Linked DNA regions of Oryctolagus cuniculus. The protein of the gene in region 1 purifies or fractionates together with the protein of each later gene. This does not show direct contact. Links are inferred from orthologs where the notes say so. Each region holds a gene or a part of one and is shown in the gene's direction. Other genes may lie near its edges. The genes, in order: CDK7, HSP90AB1, CDC37 and GTF2H4.

The links.
Region 2: the proteins of CDK7 (region 1) and HSP90AB1 purify together in Homo sapiens (affinity purification with mass spectrometry; 4 studies listed by BioGRID and IntAct, counting the BioPlex papers as one, with this or other methods). This does not show direct contact. The link is inferred for Oryctolagus cuniculus from reciprocal best matches to the Homo sapiens genes CDK7 and HSP90AB1.
Region 3: the proteins of CDK7 (region 1) and CDC37 purify together in Homo sapiens (affinity purification with mass spectrometry; 3 studies listed by BioGRID and IntAct, counting the BioPlex papers as one, with this or other methods). This does not show direct contact. The link is inferred for Oryctolagus cuniculus from reciprocal best matches to the Homo sapiens genes CDK7 and CDC37.
Region 4: the proteins of CDK7 (region 1) and GTF2H4 purify together in Homo sapiens (affinity purification with mass spectrometry; 7 studies listed by BioGRID and IntAct, with this or other methods). This does not show direct contact. The link is inferred for Oryctolagus cuniculus from reciprocal best matches to the Homo sapiens genes CDK7 and GTF2H4.

What each region holds. Positions count from the first base shown.
Region 1 is NC_091445.1:90,220,585-90,225,264, forward strand, and holds the start of CDK7 (cyclin-dependent kinase 7), read left to right. Parts: upstream 1-1,550; 5' UTR 1,551-4,226; coding exon 4,227-4,292; intron 4,293-4,589; coding exon 4,590-4,649; intron 4,650-4,680. UniProt on the Homo sapiens protein: Serine/threonine kinase involved in cell cycle control and in RNA polymerase II-mediated RNA transcription. Cyclin-dependent kinases (CDKs) are activated by the binding to a cyclin and mediate the progression through the cell cycle.
Region 2 is NC_091436.1:125,879,285-125,882,966, reverse strand, and holds the end of HSP90AB1 (heat shock protein HSP 90-beta), read left to right. Parts: coding exon 1-304; intron 305-582; coding exon 583-748; intron 749-902; coding exon 903-1,093; intron 1,094-1,200; coding exon 1,201-1,348; intron 1,349-1,433; coding exon 1,434-1,702; intron 1,703-2,055; coding exon 2,056-2,389; intron 2,390-2,481; coding exon 2,482-2,591; 3' UTR 2,592-2,639; exon of another isoform or gene 2,640-2,676; 3' UTR 2,677-2,854; downstream 2,855-3,682. Other genes in the region: SLC35B2 (adenosine 3'-phospho 5'-phosphosulfate transporter 1), read right to left, coding at 3,420-3,682. UniProt on the Homo sapiens protein: Molecular chaperone that promotes the maturation, structural maintenance and proper regulation of specific target proteins involved for instance in cell cycle control and signal transduction. Undergoes a functional cycle linked to its ATPase activity.
Region 3 is NC_091447.1:67,013,748-67,018,616, forward strand, and holds the start of CDC37 (hsp90 co-chaperone Cdc37), read left to right. Parts: upstream 1-1,625; 5' UTR 1,626-1,724; coding exon 1,725-1,826; intron 1,827-4,869. UniProt on the Homo sapiens protein: Co-chaperone that binds to numerous kinases and promotes their interaction with the Hsp90 complex, resulting in stabilization and promotion of their activity. Inhibits HSP90AA1 ATPase activity.
Region 4 is NC_091436.1:139,556,531-139,561,296, reverse strand, and holds the start of GTF2H4 (general transcription factor IIH subunit 4), read left to right. Parts: upstream 1-1,570; 5' UTR 1,571-1,791; intron 1,792-2,401; 5' UTR 2,402-2,404; coding exon 2,405-2,544; intron 2,545-2,841; coding exon 2,842-2,946; intron 2,947-3,569; coding exon 3,570-3,701; intron 3,702-4,010; coding exon 4,011-4,107; intron 4,108-4,200; coding exon 4,201-4,289; intron 4,290-4,503; coding exon 4,504-4,615; intron 4,616-4,738; coding exon 4,739-4,766. UniProt on the Homo sapiens protein: Component of the general transcription and DNA repair factor IIH (TFIIH) core complex, which is involved in general and transcription-coupled nucleotide excision repair (NER) of damaged DNA and, when complexed to CAK, in RNA transcription by RNA polymerase II.

The sequences.
Region 1 (4,680 bases):
TTCACTCTTCTGTTTAGACAGGACAAGAATTTATCAGATGGAATGGCTGCTGTAGAAGTGCTTTTCCTGAAATTAGATGAAGAATAGTGAAATAATGGCTCCATTATTTGTTCTAAATTTGCTAACATTTTTTCAGTCATAAGGTTACTAAAGTATAACTGGCTTATTAATAAGTATATCCTACTCCAAATGATAAAAATATACCCAAGATAAAAACAGATGTCCATGGTATTAGAATGGGTAAATAAGACAAAAGATTATTTGTAACCTATATTCAGAAAAAATTTCAGAGTATGAAATAAGGATACGAATATAGGAATAATTTTCACTACAGATTGTAGTTTATTATATTCTGGGAGATAAAGTCATTGTTTGGTTTACCACTTTGTGATCATGTGTGCAAATCCTGGTAATCATTAACTTCCTCAAATTTATGTCTTAAAACCTCATATATTCACCTTAAATAATTTACTTTATTAAGGCAATTTATCAAACTTTAACAGGATCATCCTATGCCAACGGTATGTATATTATGAAAATAAAACCTCACAAAGCTAAATAAATTCTCTTCCATATCTTAATGATTTCCAGAACGTGCTTAAAGAAGTCATCCTGATAGTGAGGGTGGTAGCTCATGAGCGATAGACAGTAGAAGTGTTGAGTTCATGTTTCCTTTTTTTTTGGTAAGATTTATTTATTTTACTTGAAAGTCAGAACTAGAGGGAGACACACAGAGAGAGATCCTCCATCCGATGGTCCACTCCCCAAATGGCTGCAGTGGCTGTAGCTGAGCTGATCTGAAGTCAGGACCCAGGAGCTTCATCCAGGTCTCCCACGTGAGTGCAGGGGCCCAAGCATTGGGCCATCGTCTGCTGCTTTCCCAGGCGCACTAGCAAGGAGCTGAATGGGAAGTGGAGCAGCCAGGACTTGAACCAGCATTCCTTTGGGATGCCAACACTACAGATGTCACCCTAATCCGCTGCACCAGCCGGCCCCAGAATTCTTCACCCAGCTACCTGTGGGTTACTCTTACATCTGCTGCTCCAGTTCATCTGCTTCTCTTGTAAATTCTGTGTTGTAGTCCCATGTAAATGTTCCCCAACACAAACGAGAGATAGGAATTTGGGTTGGATGCTAGCAGTCTACTCATACTAGTCTTTTGCTCTTTCTTACTTTTCTCCCAAGAAGCCCAGGGCCATTTTTTGCTTCCAGAAAAGGGATTTCAGGTAATGGAGAGCGGTTAGAGTAATACTGTGGGTGCCATTAGAAACCCTAATTCTGGAATTAAGAATCTGAGGGCTGGCAGGCGCCGCGGCTCACTAGGCTACTCCTCCGCCTAGCGGCGCCGGCACACGAGGTTCTAGTCCCGGTTGGGGCGCCGGTTCTGTCCCGGTTGCCCCTCTTCCAGGCCAGCTCTCTGCTGTGGCCAGGGAGTGCAGTGGAGGATGGCCCAAGTGCTTGGGCCCTGCACCCGTGGCGGCCATTGGAGGCAAAGGAAGACCTTTCTCTCTGCCTCTCTCTCACTGTCCACTCTGCCTGTCAAAAAAAAAAAAAAAAAAAAGAATCTGAGGGCAGTCCTTACTACAGTTCTTGCCACGAAGATCAAAATGAAAAAAATCACTTGTATAATCTGGGGGGTGAACCAGCACATGGGAGACCTCTCTCTCTACCTCTCTTTCAAATAAATCTTTAGACAAAAATGTTTATTTTGATGAAAGAATTTTTTTTTATAATTCACAAGTATAGCTAGGCAAAAGCATGTCAGTGGGAATGGCTGTCACAGGATGAGCTCCAAGGACAGTGTTGTAGACAGAATTCTGGCAAGGCTGAGTCAGGACGTCTGTTTCCATTAGGGGTTAAGCACTCACACAAGGGTATTCCAGAAAGTTCAAAGAAAAATAGTTAAAAGATGTTTATTTTGGTGCCAGCGCTGTGGCATAGCAGGTTAAAGCTGCTGCCTGCAGTGCCGGCATCCCATATGGACACTAGTTCAAGTCCTAGCTGCTCCACTTTGATCCAGCTCCCTGCTAATGTGCCTGGGAGGGCGGCAGAGGATGGCCCAAGCGCTTGGGCCCCTGCACCCATGTGGAAGACCCTAGAAGAAGCTCCTGGCTCCTGGATTTGGATCTGCTCAGCTCTGGCCCACTGGTGGCTATTTGGGGGGTGAACCAGCACATGGAAGACCTCTCTCTCTACCTCTCTAACTCTTTCAAATAAATCTTTAGACAAAAATGTTTATTTTGATGAAAAGATTTTTTTTTTAATTCTGCATAGTTTTTTTTAATGATATCCATGAAATTTTTGAAGAATCTTTGTATAATTAACCATCAGCAAATTGGTTAATTTGTGTTTCAGTTTTCCTCTCTAGTATTCTACAGTATAGGATCAAATTAGAATATTATCTGTAACCTGAGAATTTAGTGGCTGGAAACAGTAAGCCCTTATGGCTCAGTTACTGGGGCTGCAGTCATCTGAAGGCTTGGCTGCAGCTGACAGTCCCATCTCCAGGGTAGACCACTCACGTGGCAAGTGATGCTGGCTGTTGTTGGCAGGAGTTCCTCTCCGTGTAGGAAGGCTGTGCGTGTGGACTGACACGACTGACTTTCCCTGTAGTAATGATGCAGGCGTGCAGGCAGCAATGGCTGCTCCCACTTCCACCGCTGTGCCGTGTTCCACTGGTACAGAACAGCTTGTCTCATTGTGGGAGGACGACACAAGGGCATCCATAGCAGAAGGCAAGGTCGTCATGGCCATCTTTGACTAATAACAGATCTATAAACTCCGTGAGGTGCAGCAAAAGCTCAATATTTACAGACCTCATTGCCAGGGTATCAGCTAACCCATCGTCAGCAGCACGGTACAAGGTATGGAGTATCAACTTGTAGGACATGGCACACTTGAGAACCTCAAGCCTCAAAGGTAAAACTATCGTATTTAGCTCATTAGCTCTACAAGGAGGTAAAATTACCAAAGTATGTCTTTCGGAAGGAACGCTGGCAGAAGTCACACGACAGCACGCCTCTCTAGGTAGGACTTGCCCCAAGAAAAGTGGTAAATCCGGTGCACTTCCTGCAATGTACAAATCTTGCCTAGAGCCAGGTAGTGACAAAGCACCGAAAAAGAACAGTAATGGCTATCGTCAACCAAGACCTAGCTGCCGGAAATAAACTAGGTACGCGTAGTAGGTGGTTTGGCCCGGTCCTCCATCTCGTGATTGCATACTGGCGGGCAGGTATTCCGCTACAGGCGGTCTGATGCCGGAGCTAATGCTGACTTGCTGTATTACACGAACTGCACTGTTTTTGGCCTTGGCATCCTGCCATCTTCAACACGTCTCTGAAATCGGGATTTCGGCTCTCAGAAGCGTCAGATGCAATGGAGGAAACATTTCCGTGGTGCAGGCTGCTCCACTCAGATCTTGGAATCATTCTTTCCCCCTCCAACCCGTATCCAGCCTGTCCGTAAATGCTATTGGGTAGAAAGCAAGCAGAGTCATCTGGATTGTTGCACTAATTTTCTAACAGGGTCCTCTTTCTAAAAAATACTTAAAATCACTCTTCATCTGTGAAGCAGAACGGGCAAGCCCGTCTGCTGGTTCACTCCCCAGATCTCAATGGCAGCGGCCAGGCCAGAGCCACCAGCTGGAATGCAACCTCGCTGGTAGGAACTCAAGTACCCGAGCCATCTCCGCTCAGGCGAGTGGGATTCTGCCTCCCTAGGCCTGCTCCTCCCTAAGGGGAGTGCACCTGCTCCCGACTCGGCCTCAGAACGCGGCAGAGGTCGCGGGTTCTGGCGTCCACAGCAACCGTGACGCCGGAAAGCCTAGAGCAGCAACCAGCACGCGGTCACAAACTATCCGCACACGCACAGCCCTAGAAAATTCCGAACGCGGAACACATCAGGACGCCCACTCGTCCCCGACTGCGAGGACAACACCCAAATTGAAGCGATAAAACAGCAACACAGCGGCTGCCCAAAGGGCCGCACTTCCGGCATCCGCGGCGGTCACGTGACGGGCGCGACCCCGGCCCTGAGCGGCTTTGGTCCGGACGGGCTTTGCCCGGACTCTTTTAACAGCTGCTCCGCCCACCCCGGAAGTAGGGGCGGAGCCTCAAGCGTCGGAGCCCAGTGAGCGGAAGGGGCTGTTGGAGGCTTTAAGGCAGCTTTAAATTCCAGCTGTCTGGGGCGCCTGCCTCTTTTGGCTGGAGTCGGACTTCGGTTCCCGGATGGCTGTGGACGTGAAGTCTCGAGCTAAGCGTTATGAGAAACTGGACTTCCTCGGGGAGGGCCAGGTGAGGCTCTCGGGCGGGATGGAGAGCAGCGCGCGCACAGCCTTGCAGGGTTTTCCATGGACGCCCGAGGGCCTTGGCCGCTCGCTCTCCGTGGGGAGGCCGCCCGGACACAGCTGCCGCCCCGTTTTGTGCCCTGGAGGTTGGACCCCCACCCGGGAGCCCCCCGCTGCTTCCCGGCGGAGCGCGCTGGAGAGGGACGGGGCTGCCGAGCGCGGTGCAGGCCGCGGGGCCCGCGGGCTCCCCGCTGGCGCGAGCAGCAAGCGCCCGGGACTCAGTTCTCCCTGTTTCTCTTTCCAGTTTGCCACAGTTTACAAGGCCAGAGATAAGACCACCAACCAAATTGTCGCCATTAAGAAAGTGAGTCGCCGGCCGGGGGTGTCGTCTGCTC
Region 2 (3,682 bases), on another chromosome or scaffold:
AAGAGAAAAGGAAATCAGTGATGATGAAGCAGAGGAAGAAAAAGGGGAAGAGAAAAAGGAGGAGGAAGATAAGGAGGACGATGAGAAGCCCAAGATCGAAGATGTGGGCTCCGATGAGGAAGATGACAGCGGCAAGGACAAGAAAAAGAAAACCAAGAAGATCAAGGAGAAGTACATCGATCAGGAAGAACTGAACAAGACCAAGCCCATCTGGACCAGAAACCCTGATGACATCACCCAGGAGGAGTACGGCGAGTTCTACAAGAGCCTCACCAATGACTGGGAGGACCACTTGGCAGTCAAGGTGAGAGGCCTTGGGAGTGGGCCGGGGTGGAGAGGCAGGGGGTAGCCCAGCTGAGAACCGGGAGCATCGCTGATGGCCCTGCCCGAGGACCTGGCTTTCTCTCCTGGTGGAAGTTCAGGATTTTATGCAGCTGGGACCAGCGTAGGTGTGTTTAGGGCATTAGGAATCATGTCGCAAGTGCTTGGGGGACGATAATTCCAGGTTGGAGTCTAGTTGGGACTGAAGGGCACCCTGGGCCTGGCGCGTCCTGCTGGCTTACCTTGGGTCTCCTGTCGCAGCACTTCTCCGTGGAAGGTCAGCTGGAATTCAGGGCTTTGCTTTTCATCCCTCGCCGAGCTCCCTTTGACCTCTTTGAGAACAAGAAGAAGAAGAACAACATTAAGCTGTACGTCCGCCGTGTGTTCATCATGGACAGCTGTGATGAGCTGATCCCAGAGTATCTCAGTGAGTATGGCCTTGGCCCGGTGGCGTTGGAGGGGGCTGCAGGCTTCATCCCAGATAGTGGTCCAGGGAGAAAGCCGGACCTCGTGTGCGCATCCGGGTGGCTCTGTCCAGTCTGGCCTGGTCTTGACCAAGCTGCCGCACTGCCTGGTTGCAGACTTCATCCGTGGCGTGGTCGACTCCGAAGACCTGCCCTTGAACATCTCCCGCGAAATGCTGCAGCAGAGCAAGATCTTGAAAGTCATCCGCAAGAACATCGTGAAGAAGTGCCTCGAGCTCTTCTCCGAGCTGGCGGAAGACAAGGAGAACTACAAGAAGTTCTATGAGGCCTTCTCCAAGAACTTGAAGGTGAGGAGCGAGTGGCTTTCTCCCTTGGGGCACGTTTGGGTACGTGGTAAGTGGGTCGTTCAAAGTTCTAGCCCAGCTGATGGTGGTTTCTCTTCCCGCCCTTAAAGCTTGGCATCCACGAGGACTCCACCAACCGGCGCCGCCTCTCTGAGCTGCTGCGCTACCACACCTCCCAGTCTGGAGACGAGATGACTTCGCTGTCTGAGTACGTCTCTCGCATGAAGGAGACACAGAAGTCCATCTACTACATCACTGGTGCGTGCGCGTCTGGGTCTGAGGCGGGCAGGGGCTGGGCAGGGCAGGGGCATTCGTGTCTGAGTCCCATTGAATGACCTTGCAGGGGAGAGCAAAGAGCAGGTGGCCAACTCGGCTTTCGTGGAGCGCGTGCGGAAGCGGGGCTTCGAGGTGGTGTACATGACAGAGCCGATCGACGAGTACTGCGTGCAGCAACTCAAGGAGTTCGACGGGAAGAGCTTGGTGTCTGTGACCAAAGAGGGCCTGGAGCTGCCTGAGGACGAGGAGGAGAAGAAGAAGATGGAGGAGAGCAAGGCGAAGTTTGAGAACCTCTGCAAGCTCATGAAGGAGATCCTGGATAAGAAGGTTGAGAAGGTGAGCACCTGGGGCTCAGGTGTTCCGCACTCCTTTGGAGGTGCAGCTTTGCGTGCTTGCTGTGTGTGTCAAGATTCAAGGGCAGGGTTGGAGAGGGCACAATGGCTTGGGGTAAGCCAGGCCAAGGAGCCTGGAACTCCAGGTCTCCCTGGGAGGTGGCAGGGGCCGGAGCTCTTGGGCCATCTTCCTAGGCACATTCGTAGGGAGCTGGCTCTGAAGCGGAGCAGCTGGTGATGCCAGTGGCCCTGCAGTGAGTGGTTTTATTCAGGAGTTAGGTGTGAGCTGTCTCTAAGGCTTGGCAAAGATGTAAGGCTGACCTCCACACACACCTGAGGTTTGCTGGCTGTTTGCAGGTGACAATCTCCAATAGGCTCGTGTCTTCGCCCTGCTGCATCGTGACCAGCACCTACGGCTGGACAGCCAACATGGAGCGGATCATGAAGGCCCAGGCACTTCGAGACAACTCTACCATGGGCTACATGATGGCCAAGAAGCACCTGGAGATCAATCCCGACCACCCCATCGTGGAGACGCTGAGGCAGAAGGCCGAGGCGGATAAGAACGACAAGGCAGTCAAGGATCTGGTGGTGCTGCTCTTTGAAACTGCGCTGCTGTCCTCCGGCTTCTCCCTGGAGGATCCCCAGACCCACTCCAACCGCATCTATCGCATGATCAAGCTAGGCCTAGGTATGGAGTGAGCAGTGCCTGGGTTCCGGGTGGGGACACCCTTCCCTCCCTCCGTGCTGTGTGGTTGGAACCTCCTATTTTCTGTTTCCTAGGCATTGATGAGGATGAGGTGGCAGCAGAGGAACCCAGCGCAGCTGTTCCGGAGGAGATCCCCCCTCTCGAGGGAGATGAGGACGCCTCCCGCATGGAAGAAGTAGACTAGGAACTCCTCGGAAACTCCTGCCCTCTGTATAGTGTCCCCGTGGCTCCCACAGCAGCCTTGAGTGGCCCTGTCCCACCTGGCTCCCCTGCTGATGTCTAGTGGTCTCTCTCCTGTCCTGTGTCTTATGGCAGGAAACAAAGGCCTCAAGCCCCATCCCCTCCTTAATTTGACAATGGGGTTGGATGTTGTGTATTGTGGGTTTTTTTTGTTTATTTTGTTCTGAAATTAAAGTATGCAAAATAAAGATGACGCCGTTTTATACAGTTCTGCTCTCCCTTGTAAAGTGGATGCACTGCTTTTGGTGTCCAGCAGTTGTGAGCACAGAGGGCTGTGCTGGTGTTGCTCACCCCAAAGCTAAGGGGGTAGTGGGGGTGCCCACCCTGCAACCCTGTCCTCCCAACCCCTTCAGTCACCTGACACACAGGACTTGTCCACTGCAGCAATTTAATAAAATTATAAAGAGCAAAACGACATTTCCAGAGTACCAAAGCCTGCACTAGCTCACGGAGCCAGCTCCCTCAGCACCCTGTCACCCGCCTTGAAAAGCAGCACTTGGCGCCCCAAACACTTGTGCTGTGCTTTTCCCCACAGTTAAACGCAGGTGTGGGAGGGAAGTCCCCGATGTAGGGGCTAAGCACAGGTGAAGCGCTGGTGACAACAGGTAGGCTCGACACCCCCCCAAGCCCCTCAGGAGGGCTGTCAAACAGGTGACTTAAGGCCAAGGGGAAGTCTGCCTCGGGCTCCCCGCCCGCCAGCTGCACATTTTGCCCTAGAGCCAGTGCCACCAAGTAGAGGAGAGCCTGGGTGGTGGGCGGGGCCCCTCCTGCCTCAAACCTGCTGCACTGGGGCCTCCCCAGGCACCACCTTCTTTCCCCTCTGCTTTAGTCGCCCCCGGGCGTAGACTCTGAGCAGGAGCGCAGCGAAGACCACAGCCACCCCCAGCCCGCCCACCACAGTGACCGTGTGGCCATAGAGGAGGCAGGAGAGGAGGATGGCAAAGGCCTGGCGCAGGGTCATGATGATGGTGAAGACCGCCGCCCCGAACTGGCCGATGGTGTAGAAGATGAAGAGCTGGCCGCAGGCTGAGCACA
Region 3 (4,869 bases), on another chromosome or scaffold:
CCTCACATATCCCCGGAGTCTGACGGCAGGGCTTCGGGGAAGGGGGTGGTCTTCCTGGGGGCTCCAGGGAGGTCCCCCTCACCGTTCTAGACTCCTCCCGGGCGCCGGACCCACCCCCTGCCCACCGCAGCTTGCAGCCCAGAGCTTACCTTGGAAGGGGGCTGGGGAAGGGACGCCCCGCCCTCTCCGGCGGGGGGAGGGGGCGGGAAGGGACTGGGGTGCCCAGACCCTTTGTTTGCTGGTGTGTGAGTGTGAGTGTGAGTGTGTGCGCGCGGCGGTGAGACCCGCCGGGGTGTGAGTCCGTGCGCGCGCGTGCTCGGGCCGTGACGGCCACGGAGGAGCTGGACTGGCGGCTGGAGGGGGGGAGGGGGAAGCGACGGGGACTCCCCCGCCCCCGCCCGCCCACTCGCGGGTTTGAATGAAAAGCGAGGGGGAGGGGCGGCGGAGGGAGGGCGCTTTTGGTCCCGATGGCCACTCCCCCTCCCCAACGGGCCGGGGAATCCCTCCCCACCCCCACCCCCATGGAGCGATTTTTATTCTCTCCAGGGACCCCCCACTATCTACAGAGGCTCTGCGAGGAACTGGGGAGAGGCGTCCCAGACACAGGTGGCCGGAGCTCCTCCAACTCCACTTGACCCTCGCGGAGCACCCCTTAATCTGAGATAATCCTGGCCCGAGGCTGCAACACGGCCTTTTATCCCTGCATCCGAGAGTGGGTGGAGCCGTGGAGCAGCGCGCGGCCCAGCTGCCCCGAGCTCGGGGCAGTGGCATCCTGAAGCCGTTCTGGCCGAGGGGAGGGGTCCCAGCCGAACGGGGAGGGGCGACGAGCAGCCCCAGACCCGGACGACGAGGAAAGCCCCCTACCGCCCCTCCCCAGTCCCCTACTGGGCCGGAGGCCAGCAGCACTGGCCACTAGCTGGACATTTGGCGACACCCAGCGGCCGTGCGTGGGGACGCCACGCAGGGCGCCCGAAAACCTTTTGGGTGATTCCAGAGGGGGGGTGTGCGCGCAAGTCGTCTCTCACGAGTGGCGGGCACCGGGGGCTGTGTGTGGTCCCAGCGCGGGAAACCCTGCCCTACCGTCGACCCCCTCCCCTCCCCGCCACGTAGGACAGGATCTTACCGCCGCTCGCTTAGACCCCTCCACCACGGCAGGGTCTCGACCCCCCCTACTCGAACTGGGGAGTCCCCTCGGGTCTCGTGCCCCTCCCTAGCCCGGAATCCAGTCCCCCACCTTCAGGGGAGCTGGGTGGGGGTGGGGGTGGGTCTTCGAGTCGAGGCCCCGCCCCTGCGGTGGCCTCGGGCTGATGTCACTGCGGCTTGGCCAACGGGACAATCCAGCCCCTCAGTCTCGTCAACTGCCCCAGCGCAAACGCCCCCCGGGGAGGGGGCGGCAGGAGATGAGAGGCGCTCCTGGCTGCCGCGCTGCCCTGTAGGCCCCCCAGGAGGTGCCGGGCAGAGTCTCCCTGCCCAACGAGGCGGGGTCTCGGCGGGAACTCCCTGGCCCCTAACACGTGCGCAGGTCCCTTTAAGGCGGGCTTGGTCGCCAGGGCCGCCGCCGCCGTTACCAGGGATGTGACGTCACGCGCGGGCGGGGGCTGCGCGCGCGGGCGGAAGCGGAAGGGGCGGGGCTCCGCGGGCCGAGTGTCCAGCGCTGCCGCCGCCGCCGCCGCCGCCGCCGCCGCCGCCGCTCGAGCGGGCGCGGGCTGGGCCGTGGAGGCAAGATGGTGGACTACAGCGTGTGGGACCACATCGAAGTGTCCGACGATGAGGACGAGACGCACCCCAACATCGACACGGCCAGCCTCTTCCGCTGGAGGCACCAGGTAGAGCGCGCGTGCCCGGCCCCTGCCCCCTTTCCCGGGACCGCTCCAGAGTTCTGACCGCGGGTACTGCCCAGGGGACCCCGCGGTTGTTGACGCCCGGGATTCCAACCTCACGGTTTGGAGTTTCCCGCCCCTCGATTCCACGCCGGGGCTCGGGGAGCGCTGGGACCCCCACCCCCACCCACCCCCAGTCCCTGCGCGCGACCCCTGGGGCCGCCTTCGGATTCTGCACGGGTCTCTATTAACCCTTGAGACGCCCTCGGTCTGTGTATTCCCAGGGCCACCGGGGGGGGGGGTCCCTCGCCTGTAGGAACCTCTGCCGGCATCTGAGGACACCCCACCCCGCCTCACCCCTGCCCCCAGCCTCATCAACCCTGGGACGGGCAGGTGGTCCCTGCTGGCAACTCAGGGACCCCATGGTCACCACCCCCTCTTTGACGTATTTGCCCACGACAGAGCCCCCAGAGCCAGACCCCAGAATCCTAGCCGTGAGCAGCCCGTGGCTTCCCACCCATCCTCCCGCCCGGAGGTGCTCACCCCGCAGCTCGCACGGAGCGCGCACCTCCCAGAAGCTTCCAGTAGGAATTCCCGTCCCGGGCCTCCCTTCTGGCAGACCTGTATCCAGAAAGCCCTAGAAGGGCCCTGCCCCATCCTTCCGGGATGTGGCCTGGGGCCTGCTTCTGCCTCCCGGGCCCACCCCCAAACCTTTCCTTAAAGCGGCCGTCTCCTGGGGCGTGCACCTGCTGTGCGGGAGTGTGGGAAGAAAGTTCCAGCCCTTCTAGTTCTATTTATTATGAAATATTTAAGACCTCCGCAAGGCTCCCCAGACTATTTCTGTCGCGTAAAGAGGTTAATCTTTACTCTGGCGTGGAGAGCGGGGTGGGGGCCGCCCCATTTCCTGGCCGGCTGCTGTGGAGGAGGGGCGGGGTGCCCGCCCAGCCCCCAGCCCCCTCTCCAGTTTGCGAGGTGGGGGGAGGTTTGTGATCTCTCTGAGCGCTGCAAAGCTGAGCTAACGCGGCGCCCGCTTCTGGAAAGATCCTGGTGCAGAGACTGGGATGGAAAAGTTAGAGGTGGCCTGGTGGCTGCCACTCTGGGTTCCCGGAGAGGTGGGCGTTTGCCCGCCGCCCTGGGCTCTGCACCCACTGCCGGCTCCGGTTCCCACTGCCCTTCCCACTGCCCCGGGAGGCAGCAGGGACGCCTCAGGGCCCTGGGCCCCCGCCACCCACGTGGCGGACTTGCTTTGAGTTCCTGGCTCCCGGCTTCAGCCTGGCCCAGCCCCAGCCCTTGTGGGCATTTGACGTGATGATGGACTAGCAGCTGGGAACTCTGTCTCTGCCTCTGAACTTTAAAAGATGGAGGCCGGCGCCGCGGCTCACTAGGCTAATCATCCGCTTGCTGCGCCGGTACCCCAGGTTCTAGTCCCGGTCGTGGCGCCGGATTTTGTCCCGGTTGCCCCTCTTCCAGGCCAGCTCTCTGCTGTGGCCCGGGAGTGCAGTGGAGGATGGCCCAAGTGCTTGGGCCCTGCACCCACATGGGAGACCAAGAGAAGCACCTGGCTCCTGGTTTCGGATCAGCGCGGTGCGCTGGCCGCAGTGGCCATTGGGGGATGAACCAACGGCAAAGGAAGACCTTTCTCTCTGTCTCTCTCTCACTGTCCACTCTGCCTGTCAAAAAAAAAAAAAAAAGAAAAAGAAAAGTGATATTGCTTATTTTGTTGCCAAAAATTTGTAACCAGGAATAGTCCTTTCGAGGCACTGGTTTTCTGTGAACTTTTTGAATCCAACTTATATGCCTGAATTTCAGACTTTTTGCACCCCGCTAAAGTTGCCTTTTGAAAGATTTATTTACTTTGCTGAGCCAATTTTTTGGTGAAGACTTATTTAATTTTAAAGATTATCCATTTCTTCTTTTAAGTTTTTTAATTTAAGATTTAGTTTATTTGAAAGGCAGAGTTACAGAAGGAAAAGGAGAGATGGAGCCGGTTTGCTCCACAAATGGCTGCAAGAGCCAGGGCTGGGCTGATCTGAAGCCAGGAGCCAGGAGCTTCCTCCAGGTCTCCCACGCGGGTGCAGGGGCCCAAGGGCTTGGGCCATCTTGCACTGCTCTCCCAGGCCACAGCAGAGAGCTGGATCAGAGTGGAGCAGCCGGGACTCGAACTGGTACCCATAAAGGTGCTGGCGCTTCAGGCCAGGGCTTTAACCACAGCACCAGCCCCAAAAGTTATCTTTTATAATGTCATTTCTCCATGAAATTTTTTTTAAAGATTTTATTTATTTATTTGACAGGTAGAGTTACAGACAGTAAGACAGAGAGAAAGGTCTTCCATCCGTTGGTTCAACCGCCAAACGGCCACAATGGCCGGAGCTGCACCGATCCGAAGCCAGGAGCCATGTGCCCCCTCCTGGTCTCCCGTGCGGGTGCAGGACCCAAGCACTTGGGCCATCCTCCATGAATTTTTGAAGCAGCATTCCAGGCGTGGCCAGTTGGGTTGGATTCAGCTCCTGGATTATTGGCACGCCAGCCAGCCGCTCGCTAGCTCTGGATCCAAGCGTATGCCCGGGACCCAACCCGTGGGGGTCGATGCCAGGGTTTCCTGATTTATGGATTTTTAAAGACGTGTTTATTGGAAAGGCAGAGTTGACAGAGGAGGAGAGAGTCCATGTGCTGGTTCCTTCCCTAAATGGCTGTGACAGCAGGGCTGCTCCAGCTCTGCCCTCTGGCTTTCCTGATGCGCGGCCAGAGCTCAGATCCTCGGGCTCTCGCCTGCTGCTTTCCCAGGTGAATTAGCAGGGAGACGGATCAGGAGCGGAACGACTGGGAGTTTTTATTTGAAAGAGTTACAGTGAGAGAGAGAAAGAGGAGAAAGATCTTCCATTCGCTGATTCACTCTCCAAATGGCCGCAACAGCCGGGGCTGGGCCAGGCCAGAGCCAGGAGTTTCTTCCTGGTCTCTAAGAATTTGGGCCGTGTTCCGCTGCTTTCCCAGGCACATCCGCGGGGAGCTGGATGGGAAGTGGAGCAGCCGGGACTCGAACCCGCGCTCC
Region 4 (4,766 bases), on another chromosome or scaffold:
CTGCAACAGCTGGAGCTGCGCCGATCCGAAGCCAGAGAGCTGGATTGGAGGTGGAGCAGCCGGGACTAGAACCGGTGCCCATATGGGATGCCAGTGCTTCAGGTCAGGGCTTTAACCTGCTGTGCCACAGCACTGGCCCCATGTTCTGTTTCTTTGACTTTTCCTTAACTACTAGTGCGGTTCATGGTTTTCCAACTCTTCACAAGGCTTTGTATTTTTCCTGCTTATTGCTTGTGATCTCTTTTGCCAATCTTTTTTTTTTTTTTGTCTTTTTGCTTTGGAAGAGCCTTTTGCATTCTGTCTACTTCATCGAACATTTCTCCCCAAGCTTTATCTTTTTATTTTTGAAGTTTAACAGGCAGAGACAGACAGATGTTCCACCCACTGTTTCATTCCCCCAAATGCTCTCAATGACCTTGGGGGGTGGGAGTTTGAAATCTGGAGTCAGGAACCCCATCCAGGTCTCCCAAGTACCTGAGCCATCACCACCTGGTCCCATGGTCTGCTTTAGCAGGAGCCAGAGAAGGGTACGGAGCTCAGGCACCTTTATATGAAAAAGAGAGAGAGAGAGGGATCTTTCATCTGCTGATTCACTCCCCAAATGGCCGCAACCACCCAGGCTGGGCCAGGCCAAAGCCAGGAGCCAGGAGCCAGGAGCCAGGAGCTTCATTCAGGTCTCCCACATGCTCCCCTGCTCGCCCAGGCACATTAGCAGAGACCTGGACCGGAAGTGGAGCAGCCAGGACTGGAACTGGCGCACATATGGGATGTCGGCACTGCACGTCGTGGCTTAACCTGCTATGTTTAAAACTATTTATTAAAGGGGCCGGCACCCCATATGGATGCCAGTTTGTGTCCCAGCTGCTTCTGGTCCAATCCAGCTCTCTGCTATGGCCTGGGAAAGCAGTGGAAGATGGTCCAAGTCCTTGGGAACCCTGTACCCATATGGGAGACTCATAAGAAGCTCTTGGCTCCTGGCTTTGGATTAACATAGCTCCAGCCATTGTGGCCAACTGGGGGAGTGAACCAGCAGATGGAAGACCTCTCTCCTTATCTCTCCTTCTCTCTCTCTGTGACTCCGCTTCTCAAATAAATAAATAAATCTTAAAAAACCAGCCTATTTATTAAGGTCTTCTAACTAAACAGGGATTGGAAGCATGCTGAAAGACACTAAGACTTGTTGAATGCCCGCGAGTCAAGGCGCGTGGGATCGGGGTAGCAGTCAACTCGCGAAAGCGCTTACGCGGGGGACCTCTGACCTCAAACAATCTAGTTTTGTGCTCTCCAAGTGCCTCCCCACCCTGCCTTTTGGCGCCCTTCCACCAAGAAGCCCTCGGGGCATTTCTCTCCAGGTCCCGCCTCGGTCCACGCCGTTTAGAAGCGCCGTTAGCAGCGTGGGCGGAGAGAGGCGCGGAACAAAATGGTCCGACTTCTGGCGGCCCGGCTCGCTCAAGGGCCAGCTTGTCTCCGCCCGGCTTCCTCGCGCTGCCTTTCGGGAGTTGTAGTCAGAATAGCTTCAGTTTGCTCCGAGGTGCGTAGGGACAGGACTCCAACTCCCAGTACGCCCCGCGGCCCCCGAGTGCAGCGCCTATTTTCATCCTCCCCACTTTTCCACTCCTCTTCCTTTCCTTCTCTTCTGTTTTCCCCATTCTGGGCTGCTGTGAAATCCCTCGTTGCTCTCCATCTTTTTCTCTCATTTCCTGACCATCCTTTCCCCCATCTCCGGGACATCGGCTCCGTTTAAGTGACGGCTGGAGACTCGGGGCGAGTGAGGGGGGTCGGCACAGAGTGGTGAGCGGGCCCGGGAGGGCGGGTAGACGGAGGTAGAAGAGAGCAGAGAGGGGTGGGGAGTGGCAGAAAAGTCGGGGAGAAGAAGTCGGGGAGAAGTTAGGGGATGGGACGGTGTGGATCGGGGTGGACGCAGTGAGGTAGACTTGGGGGAGGTGGAAGTGGTGGGTCTGGATTTGAGCAGCGTGGAGAGCAGAGGTTTGTTTTGCCGTACCTCGCAGAAGAGGGGTGCGAAGTAGAGGATGGGGAAGACGGACAGAATTGGAGCTTGCAGACTGCTCTGCAGGAGGGGCGGAGGGAGAGAGTGGGCGCAGACAAGGTTCTTTGCTACCGCTTAGCTAAAGAAGACAGGTCGTTGCAACCAAAATGATTTTTGCAAGTAGAGGCCAGTTAGTAACTTGGAAATTGAGGGAAGTCTGGAGTGGTGGGCAGAAGTGGGATGAGGAGGCAGGAAAGAGGGGAGGCTGGTCAGGTTTGGAGAGACAGCAGGAGATAAATGACCTGGGAACGGACACCACGGGTATTACTGTGGGGACTGATGGATCTGGAGTCAGAGGTCAGGGGTGACCCTGGTGTGGATCGCGGGGGTGTGCGGCTAACACTTGTCTCTCAGGTGATGGAGAGTACCCCTTCTAGGGGTGGACTGAACCGGGTGCATCTACAATGCAGGAATCTGCAGGAATTCTTAGGGAGCCTAAGCCCTGGGGTTTTGGATCGATTGTATGGGCACCCTGCCACCTGTCTGGCTGTCTTCAGGTGAGGAGTTCCCTTCACGGCAGCAACTGTGGTGGAGAAATGTGGTAGGGCTGGCAGACGGCAATGAGTTATCCTGGGCAGAACCGTAGCAGCCTGGCACGGCTTGGGAATTACTCCAAATTGATGCAGATGGAACAGATGGGGGTTCTGGGGACAGCAGGACTGGTTAAGATACGTGTGTGTGTGTGTGTGTGTGTGTGTGTTTCTGGTGAGATGAGATGTTTGAGAGGCATGTCAGGCAGAGATAGAGATAGAAGGCAGCTTCTGGTTTTGATTTCTGACCTCTACCCTCTGCAGAGAGCTCCCATCTTTGGCTAAGAACTGGGTGATGCGGATGCTCTTTCTGGAGCAGCCTTTGCCGCAAGCTGCCGTAGCCCTGTGGGTGAAGAAGGAGTTCAGCAAGTGAGTCTCGACGGCACTCTCAGCCAGATACAAATTTCTCAGCAGCTAGATTTCTCAAACTGCTGTTCTTTGGCACACTCTCAGGAAATACTAATAGGTACACCACAAAGCTTGCATGCTGTGTCTTCCTTCTTGGAGAGTTGTGATGTCTGTAGCAAGGTTCTGAAATTTGTGTTTAGGGGCTGGCTCTGTGGCGTAGTGGGTAAAGCCACCGCCTGCAGTGCCGGCATCCCATGTGGGCTCCACTTCCGATCCAGCTCTCTGCTATGGCCTGGGAAAACAGTGGAAGACGGCCCAAGCGCTTGGGCCCCTGCACCCACGTGGGAGACCCGGAAGAAGCGCCTGGCTCCTGGCTTCAGATTGGCCCAGTTCTGGCCATTGAGGCCATCTGGGGAGTGAACCAGCGGATGGAAGATCTGTCTCTGTCTCTGCTTCTGCCTCTCTGTATCTTTGCCTTTCAAATAAATAAATAAATCTTTTTTTAAAAAGGAAGAAATTTGTGTTTAGGAGACAGTGACTTCACTCTGAAATGGTTCGGAAGAGGCAGAAGTGGAGCCTGTGTGGGCCTCCTTCGTTTTGTTCTCGGGACACCCACTTAGCACTCATCTCGGCTTCTGTTCCAGGGCTCAGGAGCAAAGTACGGGGCTGCTGAGCGGCCTCCGGATCTGGCACACCCAGCTGCTCCCTGGAGGCCTCCAGGGCCTCATCCTCAACCCCGTCTTCCGCCAGAACCTCCGCGTCGCCCTTCTCGGTGGGTATGTCACTTCCATCTCTTCCTAAGCCAGCCCAGGGGGACAGGTAGTTCAGCTGCCGGAGGGGGAGCTCCTGGGGGGAGAGGGAACTCCTGGAGGGGAGAGGAGACTCCTGGCGGGGAGTGGGGCTCCTTGGAGCCTTGCGGGGCCCACCTTTGAGAACTCCTTTAGGGAGAAGTTGAATCAGATACAGCTGCATGGTGTAGGAAGTGTCCCCTATGCATGGCCCTTGAGGTAAGGGTGGAGAGGGGGCAGACAGGCAGCAGGGAACAGAGCCAAGGTTCCTCACCTCTTGGTGCGTCCTGGCCTTAGGGGGAAGGCCTGGTCTGATGACACAAGTCAGCTGGGACCCGACAAGCATGCCCGGGATGTCCCCTCCCTCGACAAGTACGCAGAGGAGCGATGGGAGGTGAGGCCCCTGGGGTTCTGCGGTTCTGCGCTCGCGCCGCTGCATCTGTGGCTCGCAGAGGCATCAGCCTCTGTGTTGTCTTCTGCTCTGCAGGTGGTCTTGCACTTCATGGTGGGCTCCCCGAGTGCGGCCGTCAGCCAGGACTTGGCCCAGCTCCTCAGTCAGGCTGGGCTCATGAAGAGGTGAGCAAGCTGGAGGTAACGCGACTCCCTGCTCTGCCGTCTCTTTGGGTCCTTGGTAAATGGTGTCTGGAGTGGGACCAGGTTCGAGGGAGTTGACTGCAAAAGCAGAGCTGGGTCCAGCAGAGCCTAAAGACACCAGGCGGGAACCGGAGAGCGCTGCTGGCGGTGACGGTCCTTCCCTGCCTGTCCCCATCACTGCCCCCTGCGTCTCTAGTGCCGAGCCAGGAGAGCCCCCCTGCATTACCTCCGCCGGCTTCCAGTTCCTGCTGCTGGACACGCCCGCCCAGCTCTGGTACTTTATGCTGCAGTATCTGCAGACCGCCCAGGTGAGGAGGCCTGGGGCCCACCCCCCGCTCGCTCTGCCCAAGAGTCTGCCGCCCACACCGGTCTTCCCCTGCTCACACCTGCTCCCTCCTAGCTCTCTTCCTTGTCCCCCCTCCTCTCCCTAGAGCCGGGGCATGGACCTCGTGGAGATTC